Linked DNA regions of Lonchura striata. The protein of the gene in region 1 purifies or fractionates together with the protein of each later gene. This does not show direct contact. Links are inferred from orthologs where the notes say so. Each region holds a gene or a part of one and is shown in the gene's direction. Other genes may lie near its edges.

What was found. The genes of interacting proteins can lie anywhere in the genome.
Region 2: the proteins of MCM5 (region 1) and SF3B1 purify together in Homo sapiens (affinity purification with mass spectrometry; 4 studies listed by BioGRID and IntAct, with this or other methods). This does not show direct contact. The link is inferred for Lonchura striata from reciprocal best matches to the Homo sapiens genes MCM5 and SF3B1.

Annotation. Positions count from the first base shown.
Region 1 is NC_134607.1:22,471,541-22,481,563, forward strand, and holds the start of MCM5 (DNA replication licensing factor MCM5), read left to right. Parts: upstream 1-6,051; 5' UTR 6,052-6,140; intron 6,141-6,342; 5' UTR 6,343-6,358; coding exon 6,359-6,525; intron 6,526-7,390; coding exon 7,391-7,517; intron 7,518-7,614; coding exon 7,615-7,743; intron 7,744-8,016; coding exon 8,017-8,189; intron 8,190-9,473; coding exon 9,474-9,629; intron 9,630-9,717; coding exon 9,718-9,884; intron 9,885-10,023. Other genes in the region: HMOX1 (heme oxygenase 1), read left to right, coding at 164-655, 1,273-1,384, 2,717-2,853. UniProt on the Homo sapiens protein: Acts as a component of the MCM2-7 complex (MCM complex) which is the replicative helicase essential for 'once per cell cycle' DNA replication initiation and elongation in eukaryotic cells.
Region 2 is NC_134610.1:28,286,302-28,296,245, forward strand, and holds the start of SF3B1 (splicing factor 3B subunit 1), read left to right. Parts: upstream 1-5,223; 5' UTR 5,224-5,320; coding exon 5,321-5,348; intron 5,349-9,944. UniProt on the Homo sapiens protein: Component of the 17S U2 SnRNP complex of the spliceosome, a large ribonucleoprotein complex that removes introns from transcribed pre-mRNAs.

The DNA of each region.
Region 1 (10,023 bases):
TACCTTGCACTGTTTTCCACGCGGGAAATCTGCACCATCACAGGTGTTCGTGACTCATTGTGGGCGTGCCCACGAGTACCTTTATTCTTAGTACAATTTGTCCCACAGACTTGAAAACAATAAACAGATGCACCTATAGTTCATGCATTTTCTTCTCTTTCAGCTGGTTACAGCGTCCCTGTACTTTATCTACTCTGCTCTGGAGGAAGAGATCGAACGGAACAAGAACAATCCAGTTTATGCCCCTGTCTATTTTCCGGCGGAGCTGCACCGCAAAGCTGCCCTGGAGGAAGACTTGAAGTACTTCTATGGCAGGAACTGGAGGGAAGAGATCCCATGTCCTGAGGCGACTCAGAAATATGTTGAGAGGCTCCACTACATAGGCAAGAACGAGCCAGAGCTCCTGGTGGCCCATGCCTACACTCGCTATTTGGGAGACCTGTCTGGAGGGCAGGTGCTGAAGAAAATTGCCCAGAAGGCCCTCCAGCTGCCCAGCACTGGGGAGGGGCTGGCTTTCTTCACCTTTGATGGGGTCTCCAATGCCACCAAGTTCAAGCAGCTCTACCGCTCCCGCATGAATGCTCTCGAGATGGACCTTGCCACTAAGAAAAGAGTCATGGAGGAGGCCAAGAAAGCATTCCTGTTAAATATACGGGTGAGTAACAACCAGCCAGCCCTGCCAGCCCACATCCTCTCTCAAACAAGAAAATAGCTACAGGGGAAATACAAGGCCAGTATTTCCACCAGGGAGCTTATGAGAAGTTGTGGATCAGGGCGAGCTGGTCAGAGTTGGATGGCTGTGCTTCTCCAACCTGCCAGCTGAATAAAACAATAGCCTCTGAAAAGCTCTTCTCCCTCCCTTAGTTTTTGAATCCAGTCTCTTCCATGTGCCACTATCCAGATATGAATGAGGGTTAATACTGGGAGTGGGGATTACCACATAGTATCTGTCCTGCCTCTGTGGTGAAGTTACACAGGTCTGCTGTGCACTCTGACTAGGTGACAGGTACCTTGCTTTCCTTCCCATCAAAAGGTGGGAAGTAGTCTTCTCCTTAGTTGAAAGCTTTGGGGAGAACCTGTAAAGAGAACAAGGAGTTTGAAAGACATCCTCTTGACCTCACAGGCAACTTCTGTTCTAAGCAAAATGTGCCAGGAGACTTAGACTGAACCCCCATGTCTTCCTCTAGTTCCTAAGTGCCTGAGGAAGGGACAGGTGGTCCAGTGAAAGAACAAGAGGAGACCACATAATGAGACAGTGTTCTTTCTTCTAAGGTGTTTGAGGCACTGCAGGAGCTGGTGTCCAAGGGCCAGGAGAATGGTCACCCTGTGCAGCCAAAAGCAGAGCTGCTTCGCACGAGGAACATCAACAAATCACATGAGCATGGTAAGACACTTCTAAGGGCAGGTGCTTCACAGTGCTCCTTCCTTTCCTTCTCCTCCCCTCTTCTGTCCTTGTTTGTAAAAGCCATTGGGAAACAAGCATGAGGTGCTTGCCCCATCTCTTCTCCAGCCATCAGCAGGTAGTGCAAGGAGAGGCACTGCTGTGTGCAAAATTTCTTCTAGACATGGCAGAGCAAGGATAACACATGTGGGCTCTTCAGAAAGTGTGTCAGTGAGGAAGCTTTACAAAAAGAGACTCCTCTCTCCACCTCTAGAGCTTTAACAAATGTAAGGTTCATTCACCACAGGGAAAACTGACCTTGAGTTCATGGAAGCAAAGGCGTTAATTTTGGGTGCTGCAGATCAGCCATGGTGCTGTGATGCTGACAGAAGGGTCTCTGGACACAGTCCTATCCAGCAGCCTGTCCTTTTGGATCTCCCTCTGATCATTTTTCCTGCCTCCCAGAAGTATTTGCTGAAAACTCTCAGAGGATGTGCTGGGTTTAAAGTGAGCACTGCTCTGAATGGTGGAATGTAATCAGGCTTGTACCTGAGTGAGGAGCGAGGTCAGATGTTTACAGAGCAGAGTGGTTCCATGAGGACATGCAATTCAAATAAAAAACCCCTTATGGCCTACTCATTCTGAAACTAAAACGGTAATTTGTTTTCAGTGCATCCTGGATTGACCCACAGTTTTTCCATGGCAAAGATGAAAAGCAAACCTTGCCTTAAGAACCCCTGGATAGTGAAGCTTAAAGCAGCTTCTGTGGGAAAGGCATTAAAAGTTCTCTGTGAAACATTGCCATTCTTTTCCCAATACAAGCATACAAGTAAGATTTTCAGAAAAATTTGGTGTTGGATGAGGAATCCCATCCTGAAGTTGTACTACAAAAATTGCTTGGAGTGCTGAAGACTGTTCAAGGTCTTTAGATGCCTAAAGTTAAATCAGTGAGAAGTAGGAGACAAAATGCCTTTTAAAATTCTATCTTCAGCATTTATCTGTCTTCTGCACACATGAGGGGTTTAATGGAGCTGGGCAGTGCAGGTGTAAGCCTGTAAGGAGACAAGGGAGGAGACTGGTAATCACCTACATGCAGAGGAGCTGTGGGCCTTTGTGATTCCCAGGTCAAGTCTGCTGCTTCCCCTCTCCACTGGGAGAGCAGAACCTGCTGCCACTGCTTCCCCCAGCTGGGCTCTGGGCTTTCTCCTTCTTCCCTGGACAACTCCAGCAGGGTGTGCTGGGGCACTGGGGAGAGCAAACACTGCACGTTAGCATCTTCTTGCCACAACCTCTTCTCACTTGTCTTAATTTGCTTTTTATCCCTGTTTGATCTAGGTCCAGCAGCTGGGAAGGAGGGTGAGAGGACAAAGATGAGAAACACAGACACAACACCCACCACTTCCCTGGTGCGGTGGATTGTGGCACTCAGCTTCCTCGCCATGACGGTCGCCGTGGGCTTGTTTGCCATGTGAAAAAGCAGGACCTTCACCTTCTCTTTGTGACTTCCCTCACCCTGAACTAATCCACCTTCCCCAGTCCTTGGGAGAGAAATTACCCCTGACTGGGTACTGTGATCTTGGTTCTGCCACTAATACTAGGAGACTTTTCTCCCCAGAAATCAAAGAGTGCTGTAAGGGGTTCAGGCAAAGTTTCTCCTGTGCTTGGTGTGAGCTCTTCTCAGAAAGGTGATAATTTTATCACCAAAAACCAAGGGTGGAAAAGGCTAAAAACAATGGCCAAGAATTGTCATTGCTTTACAGAGTGCCTACAAAAGCCCTATGGGATCAGAAACACAGCTTTGACTTCTGTCTTCCTCAGAAAGATGGAGCTCCTTGGAGCTCTGTTTGCTCAGTTTTTTTATACTGCTAAATAATACTGTGATCATTTTCTCTGTGGAGCCACGTGGCTCCCATGGGTTACAGACAGCTTTACATGACACTAGTAGGTCTTTGTTACTTCTTTTTCCCATTATTTTTGGTCTTTGAAAAACAAAAGACAGTTGTTGGACATACAGTGTCATTCTTGTCTGGTTGTATAATTTATACACATAATAAATTTCAATGTGAAGTCTTCAGGCCTGGTGTTTCCTATTATTAAAGCCTTACCCAGGGGAGAAGGAGGTGTCTTTCTTCCTCCTGACTTTATGTCTTTTGGAGCTGCTGCTGCACAGACATGACAATAGACAGAAGTGGGAGCTATCACCAGAGCCAGACTGTTCCCACGCAGTGTTAACAATAACCTTCTATAAACTAGGGCAGGTTCCTTCAGCCTCTACATACTGCTCTCTGTTTCTAGAAGCAGCATGAAATTCAGTGAGTGTGCAAAGTATTTTTAAGGGTGGAAGTGGTACATAAGAGCTGATTGCTATTCTATCACAAGAAAAAGGTGATGGGACCCTCAGTTGGTCAAACCCAGGAAGCTCTCCCTGAACTGCCAGCAAAGGCTGCATTGCCAGGCTGCCTTTGCAAGATCTTCAGCATGAATCAGAATTGCCAAGTGTGTTTTCACCACCCAAAAGTTAAAGGCATCCTAGGTTTTGGTCGAGGTGGCTGAATGGGAGGCATCAAGCACACAACCACTGCCTTCACCCAAGTGGCAAACCAACCCCCACTCCCAGGACCTGGCACACATGTGGCATTGCTAAAGGCACTCCAAACACACAGCACTGCCGGAGCAGCCCATGCACACAGTTTGCTTTCCTTGCCTTTTGCTGAGGCACATCTGGAGGGCTGGGTTTGTGCCCAGCCGCAGGCCCTGCCTGCTCCAGGAGCTTTCCCAACACAGGAGGGGCTGCAGTTCAGATATGGCACTGCAGGTACTGACAAAATTGCTGTGCTATCACCTCAGAGTTCTCTCTTTATTCCAGAAAGCCTCTGTGATCACAGTTCTGGCTGTGACCTTAATCCCAAAGATATGTTCCTACTGATCTGTTTTAATGACCAGCACTGAACCTGCTCAAAGAACATGAATCAGAAGGCAGGTCCTGCTGAGAATGAGCAGTGGGAAAACAGGACTGTCATCATTCTCAGGATCTTTTCAACTCTGCATCCCTTCCCCGACCTCCTTTAATAGTTCTTTCTTTGGATCCGCCTGCCAGAAAAAATAGCTAATTCTTGAAAAAGATAGTTGGGTGTTCGAAAAGCAGGAATATGAGGATTGATAGCTATTTATAGACAAGAACTTGCTAATTCAGATTTGAATTAAGTTCTATTGAGTCCCTCTAAAACACCCCAACTAAACCATTTTGTTATTCAAACATGCTCATTAATCTAAGATCCCAAAGAGATAATGCCCATGAGCTCAGAAACGCACTGCACCACACTCAGCCCCTCTCCACTCCTCAGAGAGCCCGACTGTGACCTCAAAGTTGGAGAATATGGGTTCTGATTGGTATCATACCCTCCCTGCTCATGGCAGGAGAGAGATGGCACTTTGGGTATCTCACAGCCATTGTTGTCACACATAGTACATTCCAGATTGAGCCTCAAGTCCGCAGAAATGGAGACTAAGGCTTTGTTTGTACTCATCTGTGATCTTTATGAGTTCATCTGGTTTCTCTGCAGCAAGGACACCCTCCTTATTTCCCACGGGCTGCACGAAACCTCCCTTGCCATGCACTGTGCTTCTCAGCTTACTTAGGGCGTGCATTGCCATGCTTTGGGAGGGCCAAAATGCACACCAGCGACCTGCCAGCCTTCCCCCTAAATTCACAAATAGCCAGGAGGAAGGCATTGTTATGTCTAGTAGGTATAATTCGCGCCATTTCTAGTATAATATATGTGATATTGAATGTTTGTTGGAGTATACACGTTTGTATTAGGACTCCCCCCCAAACCTGGTATATGTTGAAACCTGATTTACACACATTAAAGGACGTGGCTCGGCCAGGAGATGGGCCATGTCTGGAGAGATATGGGGGACCCCAGGCGCTGATCGTCGCCTGAACGACCCGAGATGGATATCACGGAAATCCTCGGGCAGATACATGTGAATGCAGCGTTCCGTAAATTCCATCAAGGGATTCACCAACTCCTGACACTGAATTGTTTCCCCTCATCACCAAAAAAAGAAAGTCTTATTAACCTATGGACTTTGAATGGAAGAAAAGACTGACTGCCCAAATGTTGGCGTCAGGCGGAATTTTCCCTATAAAAACCACTTGTGCCAGGATGGAGGTGTGTGGGCATGGAGGAAAACCTCTGCTGAGGCTGACTCCTTGTGGCACACCCAGGGCCGACCCCAGGGTCGGCTCTGTGCTTTCCTTGTGGCTGGGTAGATAGAATTTGATTGCAAAATAAATATTTTATTTTTCATATTAATTTGGCTGGACAAATTTTCATTTATAACAGCATCGTGTCCTGAGGCCCTGAAGCAGTGAGGGGGCCCAGCCTCCAGCACTAATTAATTCACTTCATTCCCGCGATGGTATCACCCGCTCCCCCTCCGCGCCCCGCCGCAATGGTGCGGCCCGCCCGCCATTTCGCCTCCCCCCGCCCTTCGCTCCCAGATTTCGCGCCACACCGCTGGGGGCGGGCGGGGGCGGAGCGCTCCGGCCAATCAGCGGCGGCAGCGGCGCCGCGCGCTCCCTCTGGGGGCGGGGCGGGAGGGCGGCTGCGGCCCAATCGGCGGCGGCGCCTGGCAGGCGGGCCAATCAGAGCGCGCGGCGGCGGAGGCAGCGCGCGCCCTGCGGCGGTTTGGTTTCCGCCGCGCGCCGCTTTTGCCGCGAAAAAGTTGGGAGCGAGTTCCGGCGGGGATAGAGGTGCGGAGCGGCGGGGGTCGGGACCGGGACCGGGACCGGGACCGGGACCGGGACAGGGATCGGGGTCGGGGTATCCCTGGGGCAGTGCGGGGGAAGAGCGCGGCCCGTGCGTGGGGTGCGGCGAGGGGCGGTCCCGCGGGGCCTTGGGTGCGCGGCGGGGGAAGGAGGCGGCTGGCGCTGACCCAGCGCTCTCGGCCCGCAGCGGAGCAGCAGCCGCGATGTCCGGCTTCGACGACCCCGGCATTTACTACAGCGACAGTTTTGGGGGAGACGCGCCCGTGGATGAGGGGCAGGTTCGGAAGTCGCAGCTGCAGAAGCGGTTCAAGGAGTTCCTGCGGCAGTACCGGGTGGGCACGGACCGGACGGGCTTCACTTTCAAATACAGGTGCTGCTGTGGCCCCTTTTCTCCTTCTGAGCCTTGCCCATCCCCACCTGCATCTCCAGTCTGCTGTTAACCTCCCTCCTGCAGTGTACACCTCACATACGTAACAGCCATTTAGTCTCTTCTCGTGGGCCATAAAAAGTTCAGCATTAAGAGATGTTTGTATTTAACCTGATAGAAAAGCAGAAGTCTGGTGTTCACACAGATTTTTAGGCAGCCAGCCAGTGGAAAAGGTAGTAATAGAGGGATCCACACTGCCAGGTTTGCACTTAATTCTGAGATTCAAGGTCTGTCTTTGGAGTTGTAGTGCTTTCTGGTCTGGAGAATTGTCTGTGTCCATTAAATCAGTGCACTGCTCTCCACGTGTGCCTTCCAAGAGTATGAAGTTCCTTTAGCCATTCTTTGCCTATGCAGCTTGGAGACCCAGCATTGAGAAAACATGGAGATGCATCATAATCAAGGGCTATAACAGTCTTTCACTTCTGAATTTCATTTATCCTGGCATTTTAAAGAAAAATGTTGTCCTGTCATTATATCCTTTGTTTTAAACCACATCTTATGTATAGTAGTTATTATCCTACATAGAAATTTCCTCCTTGTTTATCTGGTCATGTAACTCCAGCAAATACTTTACATTGCCACTGAAGCACTGGTGTCCCTGGTCTTATGTCACTTTTCCAGGTGGGCTTGGGTGAAAGATTGCCCAGGTTCCCCTGCACTTCTGGAACTCCCCTAATTTTCCCTGCTTGCTTTCCAAATGAAGGACTCCCTGCAGAAGCTGCCTTTTCTGATCCCTGCTTGTGCTAAGGCCACTGTGGATGACTGGTGCTTTCTGCCCTGCAAACCTTTGCTGCTTCCTGCCTTCCAGGGATGAGCTCAAGCGGCACTACAACCTGGGGCAGTACTGGGTGGAGGTGGAGATGGAAGACTTGGCCAGCTTTGATGAAGATCTCGCAGACTATCTGTACAAGCAACCATCAGAGCACCTGCAGCTGGTAAGGATGGATGTTGGAAACCTAGAATATTGGCACAAGAGCATCTCTGATGTTCTGCTGTAACAGACCCACTGATAGCCCATTGTTCATTCTCTAGTTGGAAGAAGCAGCAAAAGAAGTTGCCGATGAGGTCACTCGTCCTCGCCCCTCTGGAGAGGAGACTCTCCAGGACATCCAGGTGATGCTGAGGTCAGATGCCAACGCAGCCAACATCCGCAGCCTGAAGGTGAGGTGAAGTGTGTGGGTTTGATTGCAGGGGAGCTTTCAGGACCTGGTCACATGGCTCAGGACATGGGTCACTTGCTAATGTACAAGCAGCGTTACTCTGCAGCTCAGATCTGACTGCAGAGGGCTGTTATTGCTGGTTCCTGCTGTAGGGACATTGTTCTGTTAGTGGTGCTTTGCACAGAGTATTTTGTCCTTTGCTCTCATGCTTTGTAGTTTCCCATCCATCTTCCAGTGATGCTTTCTCACCTTCCCTTCGCCTGTCCCTTTTCAGTCTGACCAGATGTCCCACCTTGTGAAGATCCCTGGGATTGTAATTGCAGCAACCCCCGTGAGAGCCAAAGCCACCAGAATCACCATCCAGTGCCGCAGCTGCCGCAACACCATCAGCAACATCGCGGTGCGCCCGGGCCTGGAGGGCTACGCTCTGCCCAGGAAATGCAACACGTAAGGACTGACAAGGGCATGCACCAGCTGGCTGGAGGGCGAGAAAAGACTGCATTCCCCTCTTCCTGCTCCTGCTGCATCCCATGCATTGCAGAATCTGCTCCCTTTCCACAAGGCAGCAGCACCTGCGCTGCTCTGCCTCCACCCTTTGTGCTGCCCCTGTGCCACTGTGCAGTTTTGGCTGGCAAGTTCTGGCTGTCCCTCTGTGGTCATGCTGGTTGTGACCCTGCACGGTCAGTGCTGCGTGCAGTGCTGAGTGACCATGTCCAGGGAGTCCTTTTTATTCATAGGGAGTTTCTCTTGTACCTAAAGGTTCATGCCTGCCTCCAGCTGTCTCATAATGCTGTGTTAAGTTGTTCTCCTCTTTTCCAAACAAACTCCTTGCTTCTACATTCCCACTCCTGAAAAGCATGTTTTGTGTTACCTTACTTAGGGGTGCTTTTCTGCTAGTCTTTTTATCCTGCTTTACAGTTCCTGGTGCCTCTGAGCACTGTGTGCATTAGACTGCCATTGTGCTGCAGCTCTCAAGGCAGCCAGTCCTGGTGGGTTGTGTCTTTGGGCTCATACCTGCCAGTATTTATTTTCTGCACCTGAACTCTAATGCAGCTTGAGAGGGGTTTGGGCTAGGGAGTCATTCTTGTGTGTGGTCTGTGCAGCACCTTGCTCCTGATCCCTGACTGTATGAGTGCATCTGCTCTCTGGTGTTGTCCTGCCTGAAAGCCCTGCATGGAGTCAGGCATCAGTCGTGCCACTCTGAGACAGCAGCAGGATATGGAGCTTCTCTTTGTCTCAGAGAGCTTGTAATCTAGCTAGGCAGATGTGGCTTGAGAGACTGGGAGGTGGATGTCAGCCTTGTCACATTGCTAATTGCTTTCTCACCAGAAACCACTTAACATTTGCCTCATGCATGAGGTTGTAAAGAAAAACGCCCTGCTGTGTCAGTGAGTGTGTGCTGCTACCTTCTGTGTAATTAATGAATTACCTTCCCTGCTTGTAGCTAGCAGGGGAGGGGTGGGAGGCAGGGAGAGTGTTCAGACAAGTGTCACCCTGCCTCTGGCTTGTTCTTATGTGCACGTTTGGCACTTGCAGAAGACAAGACAGAGGCCTTGCTGGCCTTTGGTCTGGCCCCATGTGTCTGCCCTTACCTGCTAATGTGGCACTGCTTGGAAGGGGCAGCTGCCCCTTGCTGTCACTGCTGTCCCCTGCACAGGTGCCTCCAAGGGCTGGCTCCAAGGGCTGGCTCCTCAGTGCTAACAGCCTCCCCTGATCCATCTCTCTGCACAGAGAACAAGCTGGCCGCCCAAAGTGCCCTCTGGACCCGTATTTTATCATGCCAGATAAGTGCAAGTGCGTGGATTTCCAGGTCCTGAAACTGCAGGAGTCTCCAGATGCCGTGCCACACGGGGAGATGCCCCGGCACTTGCAGCTCTACTGTGACAGGTACTGGCACAGCCTTCCCACCCTGCCCCCACTGGCTGTTGCCATCATTTCCCACCACCATCCTCTGCTTTCCCCTGTCTCCTCTTAGGTACCTGTGTGACAAAGTTGTCCCAGGGAACAGAGTCACTATCATGGGGATCTACTCCATCAAGAAATCTGCGCAGAGCAAGAACAAAAGCCGCTACAGTGTGGGCGTGGGCATCCGGAGCGCTTACATCCGCGTGGTGGGCATCCAGGTGGACACAGAGGGCTCAGGTGAGGGCTGCTTTTGGGGTGCATTTGGTCTGTGCTGGTAGCCTGGTGTTGGGAGACACTCCCCACACTGTTCCTGAACAAAGTGATCCCTCAGCAAGAAGTGTGTGAAATCACAGCCTTCATCCTTCTCTGCTGTCTA
Region 2 (9,944 bases), on another chromosome or scaffold:
GCTCGGTGCCTGCTCAGGGTTACAGTCAGCAGCAGCTTAGCAGTACGGCCACAGACCTGTTTGTGATCACAGAGCACCCTTTGGTCACAACTTGAGACAAAGAAATCGTTAATTAACGCTTTCTCGTAATGTACCTTTCAAATACAGGCTCTCTCAAGGAAAGCGTGTTTTACAATTACTCTGCGATTGGAGACCTACTGTTTAAATGTAATTCATCACACCTTTCATATTTTGTGTAACGCAGAAACTGTTAAAAGGTAAGACTGCAAAATCTATTTCCATAAAATAGTTTGGGTTGGCTTTTTTTAACTTTAGTACCAGATATAGTCTTGACTGGGAATCTTGAACTAAGATTGGTATTTTCACGTCCTGAACTTGAGTTGTGTCTGGGCTGTATGCACTAGAAAACCAGCCTGGATACACTGCCAGCAGTGTCCCTTCAACTACGGGAGGAACCCATTCCCACCTATTTACAATGTAAATGAAGCAATTTTAGTTGAAGCTGTTGAATGCTGAATGCATTAAGAAGTGAGATTTCTGGACAAAAATAACAGTTCAATTATATAAACCTACAACACATCCTCTTCAGAAAACGTCCTTTTAATTATCCCAGCGTCCTTGCCATTAGCAAAACCACTCATTAAATAAGCACACCACCAATTTGGATGACAGAGACTCAATGGAGCAACTTTTGCTTTACCACCTCAGGGTATGGTGTTTTTCAGATAAGCTGTCCTGCAGCATATCTCTATTACTTTGATGAAAAACAGAAATCAGTAAAAACCCAGGTTCTCCAGTGCAGGTGAAAAACAAACTGCAAAGACAGAAATGCAAACAAAGCCCCAGTCCTATGCTGTCCTCCCTTCCTCTAACCCTTATTACTAACCTCATCTGTGTTTTGCAACTTCCACGAGTGCTGCTATTATTTGCTGGATTCTGTGTCTGTCATTCTAGCTTGCTCAGTGAATCCTAGTGGATCAGGAAATGCCTCTCACAAAGACTGATGTTTTTAGGTGTTTAGAATAATTGAAGAGTCAGGCATCGAGTAGTTCAAGGTGATGGATGTTTAAGGCACTTTGAGGAGTTTTTGCCTTTTTTGTTTTCTCTTGGTAGGCTCAAGATTAAAGTTCTTAAACCTTGCTTGATACCTGTTGCTGGAAGAGAGTGCTGTGTTTACTAACTCTGACTGGAAGAGTGGTCCAAATTAATCCTTAACACCAGAGGGATGCAAGATTTCTGATACACTAGAAAGGGATGTACTGTAGGACCACAGAGGTTGTTTTTTTCTAAATGTTATTTTTTATAATACTACTATCATTAGAAGGTTAGGTTTACATTCTAACTATGAGGTTTATACTATTAAAAACAATAATTTTAAGGACACCTTTCAGAGGGGAAAGAGTCAATCTTTGACAAGGAGGAGAGCATATCCCCATGTAAAAAAAAGCTCTATTCCTACAGATAAGTGAAAAGAGCAGCTGGTTTAGTGTGTTCCTTAGGTAGCCAGAGATATGCTGAGGAAAGCAAAAATATAGTAACTGTGTTCCTGTTTACAAATGAGTTTTGAATAATATTTGCCTTTGAAAGATCTCAAAATATATACATGTAGGCTGGGAAAAATTATCTACAAACATAGATGATTCATCAGGATATAAAATCACATAAATTTTCTTATATTTTATATAGTGCCAGTGAACTTGGTGTTAGTAATAATTGAAGTATTTGGCTGTGAACATGTTGTGTAAAGGATTAAACTTGTTTGATCTTCATAAGGTTTCAGTGGACCAAAAAAATCCAAAAAAGGTTTAAATCTCAATGCATATTTGCTCACAGACGGTTTTGAAATCCAGCTACTCTGTTCTTACTCTGTCCCAGTTCCAAAATAGTACTGTCTGTATTTATTAAACTGCTCAGGAAGAACATGATCTGCACCAAAGCATGCAGCCCCGGGCGCAGCTCGGGCAGGCTGGGGGAGGATTGCTGCGTGGGGAGGGCTGTGTCTGCAGCAGCCCTTACCCAACCCCCCTGGCCCTGCCAGCCCTGGGACAGCGTTAGCTGGGACACAGGGCCTGGAGCCTGCTTCCTCTTGGCAGAAAATCTACAAAAACACCCTCAGACTCCCTCAGGAGAGCCCACAGGACTGTGGCAGCACAGATGACAGTCCCATCCCATCTTTGATTTATGTTCCTCAGGCCCCCCTTACCAGCAGTGACACAAATGGTTTGTGTTCAGGTTATGCACATCCTGCAGAACACAAAGCAGCCCCCATTTAAAATTGTCCAAAAAGCTTATCTTCCAATGTGTATTTTTTAACTCATTGCTTTCCAGTGACAAAAAAATTGTCACTTTGTACATTATTTCTTCTTGACATCAGAAACAAAAATGCGACTGGAAGAGATTTTATTTTGTGCTATTTTTTTCTTGCTCATGTTGTTTGAGAAGTTTGTGCAGAGTTGAAACACAGCTGCTACAGTTAAATATTTCCTCTCTTTGTTTTAAGAATTTCTGCCCTTTAACAGACACGTGATTGTCAGTGAACTGTCCCTGGCACGTGAAGCTAAGCACAGACCTGGGCAGAATGAAGGATTAGGAGTTTAGCCCAGGTTTGTAGCATTTTGCTAATGTCAGCTCATTCTACAGCTCTTTACAGCATGGGTGGGTGGTGGGGGGGAATTAATACAAATAAAAAATTACTTTTGGAAGAAGTAGCACAAGGATGTAGTCAAGAGCCTGCCTTCTTTGAGTGAAACAGTGCCAGAAAGTTCTGCTGGCACAATAGATGGGGTCAATCAAGGCCAGGCAAAGAGTCTGGATATTTCTTCCAGCAGCAGTGCCAGCTGGTGACAGCTTAAGCTGCCCGTGAAATTGGACCTGAATCTTACATAAAGTGGGACCTTGGAGGTCTGTTCCTTAGGTGTGATTCCTGATCTGCAAAGCTTGAGTGCTCTTAAATCCGTTTCAAATGCATACAGGAATCTCTGTGAACTCGCTGTTCACTTGCATGTGTGGGAAAGGGGTGGGAACTCAGTAGGGCTGGTAAACCACTAAGTAACAGCCCTGTCCGTATTCTGTGGAAGCTGTGTGATGGAGTTAATGTTCAGGAGGCAAAAGTACATATTCAGGGATTTGACAGGCAGCCAAAAAGAACCTGGGGCAGCATACAGAATTCGGTGGAAAAGCAGGGAAGAGACACAAGTAGAAGGCAGTTTTCTCATTGTTTCATCACAGCACAATTTCTGTTAGCACTCACAACACATAAGTCTCTTTTATGTGTGAAATGGCACATTTCAGAATTATGACTTTAAAGCGTTCCTCGAGACCTCATGCCTAGCTCAGGTCTGCTTAATAACAGAAGAAATGAAATATTGTAATTGTTCTGCTTAACATAAACTGGAAGTCAGGCTGAAGAAAGGAGGGAAAGTTACTGCAAATTGATCTTCACAGTGAATCTGAGCATGTGACATTTACTTAAAATAGTTGCATGCATTAAATTCTTGCAGCAGGGAATTTGCCTCAACCTTACTGTCACATGTCTCTGGGCAGCTTGGTAAATATCTCCTTTTGTAGCCTGTGAGTATGTGCAAGTGCATCTTTCTAGAAATGTGGAATGTGAGTTTAATAACGCTGAGAATAAAGAACAGAAGACTTTGTGCACCTTCAAGTGACAGTCACTCTTAACATTTGAGTACATGTAGTTAGTAAATTATTAAAAGCAGAACTGTTCAGCAAACTCCTGCAAACCAATCAACACAAAGCAGACTGACAGATCTTTAGATCAGTTGGTCAATCAAATACATGTATTAACACAAAAACATGAGCTTCACATTATTTTCTTTAAGACAACCCTCAAAAAGCCATAATGTGAACTACCAGCTTGCATAAGCAGAGTGATTAGTGAAGAGTCAATATGGGTTTTGCCATCGTGCATTTATCACCCTTTTCAGAAACAGTTTATGCATTTTACCTGATGGGAAGTTCTCAAGTTGACATCACTTGTTGCAAAAGCTTTTGAGGAGATTAGGGACTTAGCAGGTGTACAATAAAGCCACATGATAATAAATAATCTCTAGAAGTTTACATATTACACTGTGTTATGAAATATCATTAAGCAATCGTGGACTTTGAACCTAGGTTGCATAGCCAGCCTTGGTATTTTACTACTATTAAAAGCTGAGACAATAAAAAACTAGCTTGTTCACAACACTTGACTGTAAGGGAGAGTTCCCAAGGCTTTGCATGTGGATAGAATCAATCCTATTTAGTTATCAGGTATACAATAGACAGGGATGCTGAAATGTGTATATATCATCTGGGGAAAAAAGTTAGTAATTCCCAAATGAAATGTGGAAGTGGTGTGAGGTCAGTTATTGCAGAACAGCTGAACAATTTGTTTACATCCACACTAGGTCATGTTCATAAACATCTGATCGTTCCTCCTCGCTTCTAGACTATATTGAGTTTGCCCAAGTCTCTGTTGGACACCATCAGTGGCTTTGACTGAGCTAAGTAAATTGCTTTTCAGGTTTTGTATGTGGCACAATTTTTAATGGCCTGGAGTAAGACTTAATTCCACTGCAGCAGCATATTGCTACAGATAGTCGTATAGCTTTGATTTCCCATGTCATCAGTTTCTGACTATTTTTTCCACTTAAAATTCATATAGTGACTTAAAATTCCAATTTGGAGTAATTTCTGCTTTTTGTTGTTGAAGCTTACCTCTGTGATCTTAGATTATTCCATGTATGAATCAATGTAAGATTATTCTCAATTCCTTCTTCCACCTGCCAGTTTGGTGCCATCTGCCAATATCGTAAACACAACTACCCTTCCCTCTTTCGAGCCCTTCCTAAAATACTGAACTGACTTGAATCCGGTTAACCCCCATCTTGTAGCAATAAATATATATCTGCTTTATTTCTGATATCTAGCGATCCGCCTGTTGGCACTGAGCCAGTTACCCTGACCAGATGAAACACACGTCAGGCAATTTGGCAAACAGAGCTGAGCACCCAAATTCCCGTGGGGCCCAGCCTCAGCGGCTGTGGGAAGGAAGTCTCCAGGAACCGCCCCCATATTTGGCGCTTCCATTTGCCCCGCCCTCACCGGAAGTTCCCTCACGGCGGGCCGGGCTCAGCGCGCGCCCCGCCTCTCTCCGCACGGCCATTGGCTGGGCGCGCCGTCCATCAGACGGTGGGCGTGGCCTGGCCCCCGGCCCGCGGGACGGCGGCCGCGCCTGCGCGCTGCCGGTTCTGGCGGCCCCGTGTGGCGGAAGCGGCGGGGCCGCGCCAGTTCCGCCTCGGCGTCGTTGGCGCTGCACAAAATGGCGAAGATCGCCAAGACCCACGAAGGTAAAAATAGCCCGGAAAGCCCCGTGTCCGCGCCCGCTCGCGCCGCGCTTGGACATCGCCCGCTGCTTGTGTTTCTCCCCGGCTCCGGGCAGCGTCAGGCGCGGCTCCTCGGGCGGAGGAGCACACATACAGGGCATGTGTGTAATGGCGGCTGCGCTCGTCAGCGCCGGGCCGGGCGGGGGGCGGGCATGAGGGGGAGCTCTCGCTGTGCTGGCGTGGGCCGGAGCGGCGGCCAGGCCTGTGCGGGGGAGCTCGGTCGCTGAACTCCCCATGGCCGCCTCCTTCCGCCCATCGAGGCTCGGCCGGTGCGCTGTGCAAGGCCCGCGGTGCCGCTGCGAGTTTCGCGTCAGAAATGCCAACAGCGCGCGTTCGGTCCCCGCCGAGCCCCTCGGCCTCGGCAAACAGCGCCGGGGGCGGCCGCAGAACGGGCGCTGCCCGCTGGAAGCGGCGCGGCCCGAGCCGCCGCCGTGCTTGCTGAGAGGAGTGCCCCGAAGGACGGGAAGGATCGTGAGGGCTGGAGCGTTCGAGCTGCCATTTTGCACAGACTTCTGCCGGCCGGGTGTTGACGTAGGACAGCGGCTCCCTGAGCGATCCAGCGGCTCAGGGCAGTCCCGGCGCTGTGTGCTTCTCCTTCTCTTGCGTGCGCTGCTGCCTCGGCTCTTCTCGGAGGGAATCAAAGCTCTCTTTGTGGGCATCGGCTGCGGCTTGCACCCGAGAATAATGTGTAGAATTACACTGCTTCTCTGTTTTTGCTTCGGGGTTTTTCTCTCGTGTTTCTCTGTACGATAGGTGTTCTGCTGTGTTTTGTTTTAATTTATATGCATAATTCACTAATTGGAAACTGCCTCTGGATGGTGGTTGTGCACTGAGGTAGGCAGGGCGCTTAGGCGTTCATTGTCTTTTAGTATTTTTTTAATTTTTTTTTCAGCTTTTACTGAAAAAAGCTTTTCAAGTGGAAAGCCATCATCTCCCGTGGAAGTGAGATTAATGTAGTGTTTAACACTACAGACCTAATCTGATTTTAAGGACGAAGAAAAGCTTAAACTGTTGTCCTTACTTTCAATTATTTTTTAGAATTCTAGAGTATTTTTATATAATTACAGAAATTGTCTTGTCCTTTGTTTATATAATGTGACATGCATAAGGGTTGTGTGTGATAGCACCCAAGTGAGCCTTACCCATCACAGTGCTCTGCCTCTCCTACTACCTGAAGAGATTCTTGTCATAAAATAGTACAGTTGTTGAGGTCTGGTTGTTTCCAAGCTAAAATTGCTTATTTTTTGGAGCAAATGGTGATGCATTGGCTTCAGTGAAAACATTGACATGCTTTCAGTTGCATGTGTTTTGATTAGTGTTGTATCAGAACAGGTTTTAAGGGGGAGGGTAGTTAAATAAAAAATAGACATAACAGGGTATGATCACTTAAGGGTCTTTCCCAGCATGGAGGCATTAGCTGAGCAGCTTGATTATTTTGCTTCCAGGTGGTAGCCTATTTTTTTCAGTTCCTCACTAATCTTTTGAATTGAGTTGTTTGTTACTAAATCATCCTAAAGTTTTTTTAATATATTTGTGCTGTTTATTAAATATTTCTTAATTGATGTGTTCAAGATACAGCTTGAAAGAAGCATCAAAAGAGCTGGAGTTCATGTCAGCTACATAGTTAAAGGGGGACTCTGTGTTTGAGGCCGAAAAGTGAAGTTTCAGGTGGCAGCTTATAATGCCTCAATAAGTGCATGAGCTTTCAATGCTGTTGAAGGTCGTATTTATTTTAATTTTTTTTCCTTGCTGAGAAGAGAACAGAGATCTTCAAACATAATAGATCTAACATGCGTAAGAGTGCTAAAGTAGTTAAAAATAAAGCCATGTAAGGGCAAGCTAAATGTGCAAAAATATGATAAGACATGAAAACATAGAACCTATTTACTCTAAAATACCTGTCCAGCACAGGGTCTTCTTTCTTTTTTTTTTTAACATTTAGAATAGAACTACATGCGTGGTATCAGAGCACATACTTAGAGGAAGCCTCTCTGTGAGCTAGATGTTCAGTGACTTTGAATAAAGTGTTATAATATTCAGCTGTAATAATATTCAGCATTTATGGTATGTTTCAAATCACCTGCTTGTTGAAGTTACTTCTGCTAAAATACCAAAATACATAGAGTAAAATACAGAAAAGGAGCAATCAGTAGAATATTATTCCCCTCCTCTCTTTTTTCCACCCTTATATCCCACTCCCTTTACTGTTTCTCTGTGAGTGAAGTTTCCATTATGTCCTGCTCGACTAAGCCATCAAACAAGTAGTTTGCTTTGCACAGTGTCTTTAAGCTTTGTGATCACTCTTTCTTAATTTGCTTTTTATTAAAGAGCTTTGTTAAGTATGGTGTGAGCTTTTTCAAGGAAGTGCCAGTTAGCTCAAGGAAGCTAACTGGCACATTTTGAATGTCAAAATAGCATTTTCCACCTAAATATGTGATGCTTTTCAAACACAGGCTACCTGTGGCCACAGGCTCCTGGTTCAAGGGCTCTTGTGGGTAGAGTGCTTCATTTAAACTGGCACCTGGAGGCTGTGTGGTATTAATAAAAAATTAGGGTGGCTATCAGTAAGGTTTGTTGAGCCTATATAGACTTCGTTTTTTTGTTATAGATAACCCAGTAGGTTTTTGCTGTAGGAAAATGAGAATGCTCCTTGCCCCGGCAGCAGCTGTAATCCCTGTAATTTAAAAGAGAAGGCCAGTAATGAGTGACACATCCACCCTCTTCATGAAATATAGCTGTTTTAAAAATAATGTTGGCGGACAAGGCATTGTTAAGTGCTAGTAAGAGCTATCAATAGGAAAACATTTTTGTATTGACACTTGCACTGCAGGAATCCCCCCACTGTTTCACTTAACTCTGTTGGTGATAGTAGAGGTGGGAGGCCAAGCAGGAGCAAATGTCTGGCCAGTCCTGCAGTGGGGGGACCTGTTGGTGTGTTATGTGCTGGAGCTGTATGGTGAGGTTGGTTCAGTGAACAGGTGATGGAAAGGCTTGATGATCCTATAGACAAGATCCATAGGCTTTTTTAATGTTGAAGTTGGTTACAGCTGTGGATGTTCAGTCAGGCCTCAGTGTGCCACTGAAGAGGCAGGGTGTTTGTTGTTCCACTGAGTGCCCTTTGGAAATCAGGGGAACGGTGGGGTTGTACCCTCACATCACCCACTCTGTGCGGGTGGTGTTGTCCTTGGTAGAGATGGAAGCTCCAGGTATTCCCTTCCATCCCAGTACTGCAATGCACCAGGCTGCAGAAGGAATCAGGAGCTTCATCTGCTCTCTAGGAGAAACAGAAATAACTAAAAAATATGTGGAGAAGGTAATGGAGTTTCATTGACTCTATAGCCATAACATTGGATGATTCCACAGAAGTGGAATACATTAGGAGGATGCTGTAAGCACCTCTGAAGGCAAGCAGAGGCCTCTGAGGGCAAGAGAAAGATCTGTAATTTGGAAGTAGTTTCTTTCTGCTGCTTCTCCAGGAACTAACACATTGTAGAACAATGTATTCCAAGTTCTGGACTCACAGGAATACCCTGGGCTGTGCAGGATTTTACAGGGAGCAGGATGTAGCCACAGGCCAGATTCAGGGGGTACTCATGGCCAGCAGTATAAGGCTTTTGTGAGGTTTCAGCTTCTCATGAGCTTAAGCATCATGAGTCTCTAACACAGAGGTGAGTGAAGTTACTCTGCTCTAGAAAGCTGCAGAAGTTCTGTGGAAGCCCTGAAATGACTGGAGCAAGATTCTCCTTATAAGCCTTTAGGGTATGTCTTCTGTGTGTGTGACTCTTAATGAGTTTTGAATCACATTTCTGCTGGGTTTCCTCATTAGACCAGTGCAGGAATTGCTGATTTGCTGCTAAGGTCTACTATGGTGCTTCACATGAAGTCAGTGCTTCTTTCTGATGAAGTGAACACTAAGTTCTGCTGTTCTCACTCATGGCTATACGGCAAAGACTTGTCAGGAAAAACTTTGTTGAGTTCCCTCTCTAGAGAACATGCCTTTGTACAGGAGGCATAATTTGGCTTACGGTGGATTTATGGTTGTTTGTGGGTTTTTTTTTTTTTTTTTTTTTTTTTTTTTTTTTTTTTTTTTTTTGTGGTTAGTGGCTGTCTGTGATAAGGAAAGGACCCAGCTGTGACATTAAGGCTTGAAGTTTGTAGTGTTGACATTTTAAACTTTTAAACTAAGCAATTCTGATCCAATAATTTGCATGGTAATAATCTTAGTTTTAAAAACAAGTATTCTTATTTTTTTGTCAGATTTCGTAACAGGTGTTGCATAACATTGTGTAGTGTCTTTTGCAAGGTGACTTGATGGTAAAAACATGTCAAATTTATTAATCCTGAAAAGAGAAGTGAGCAACAGTAATAAACAATTATTGAATACTCAGGATTCAAGATAATATGTGAACACGATTTCCCATAGCTTTTTTGTAAATTGACAAATTTCCTTTAAGTTAAGGTAGCAGGCAATAGCACTTGATGTGGGAGCAGGTGAATCCCAGAATTATTGAAGTTGGAAGGGTCTTTTGTAGTCCAATTACAATGTATTCCAATTCTTCC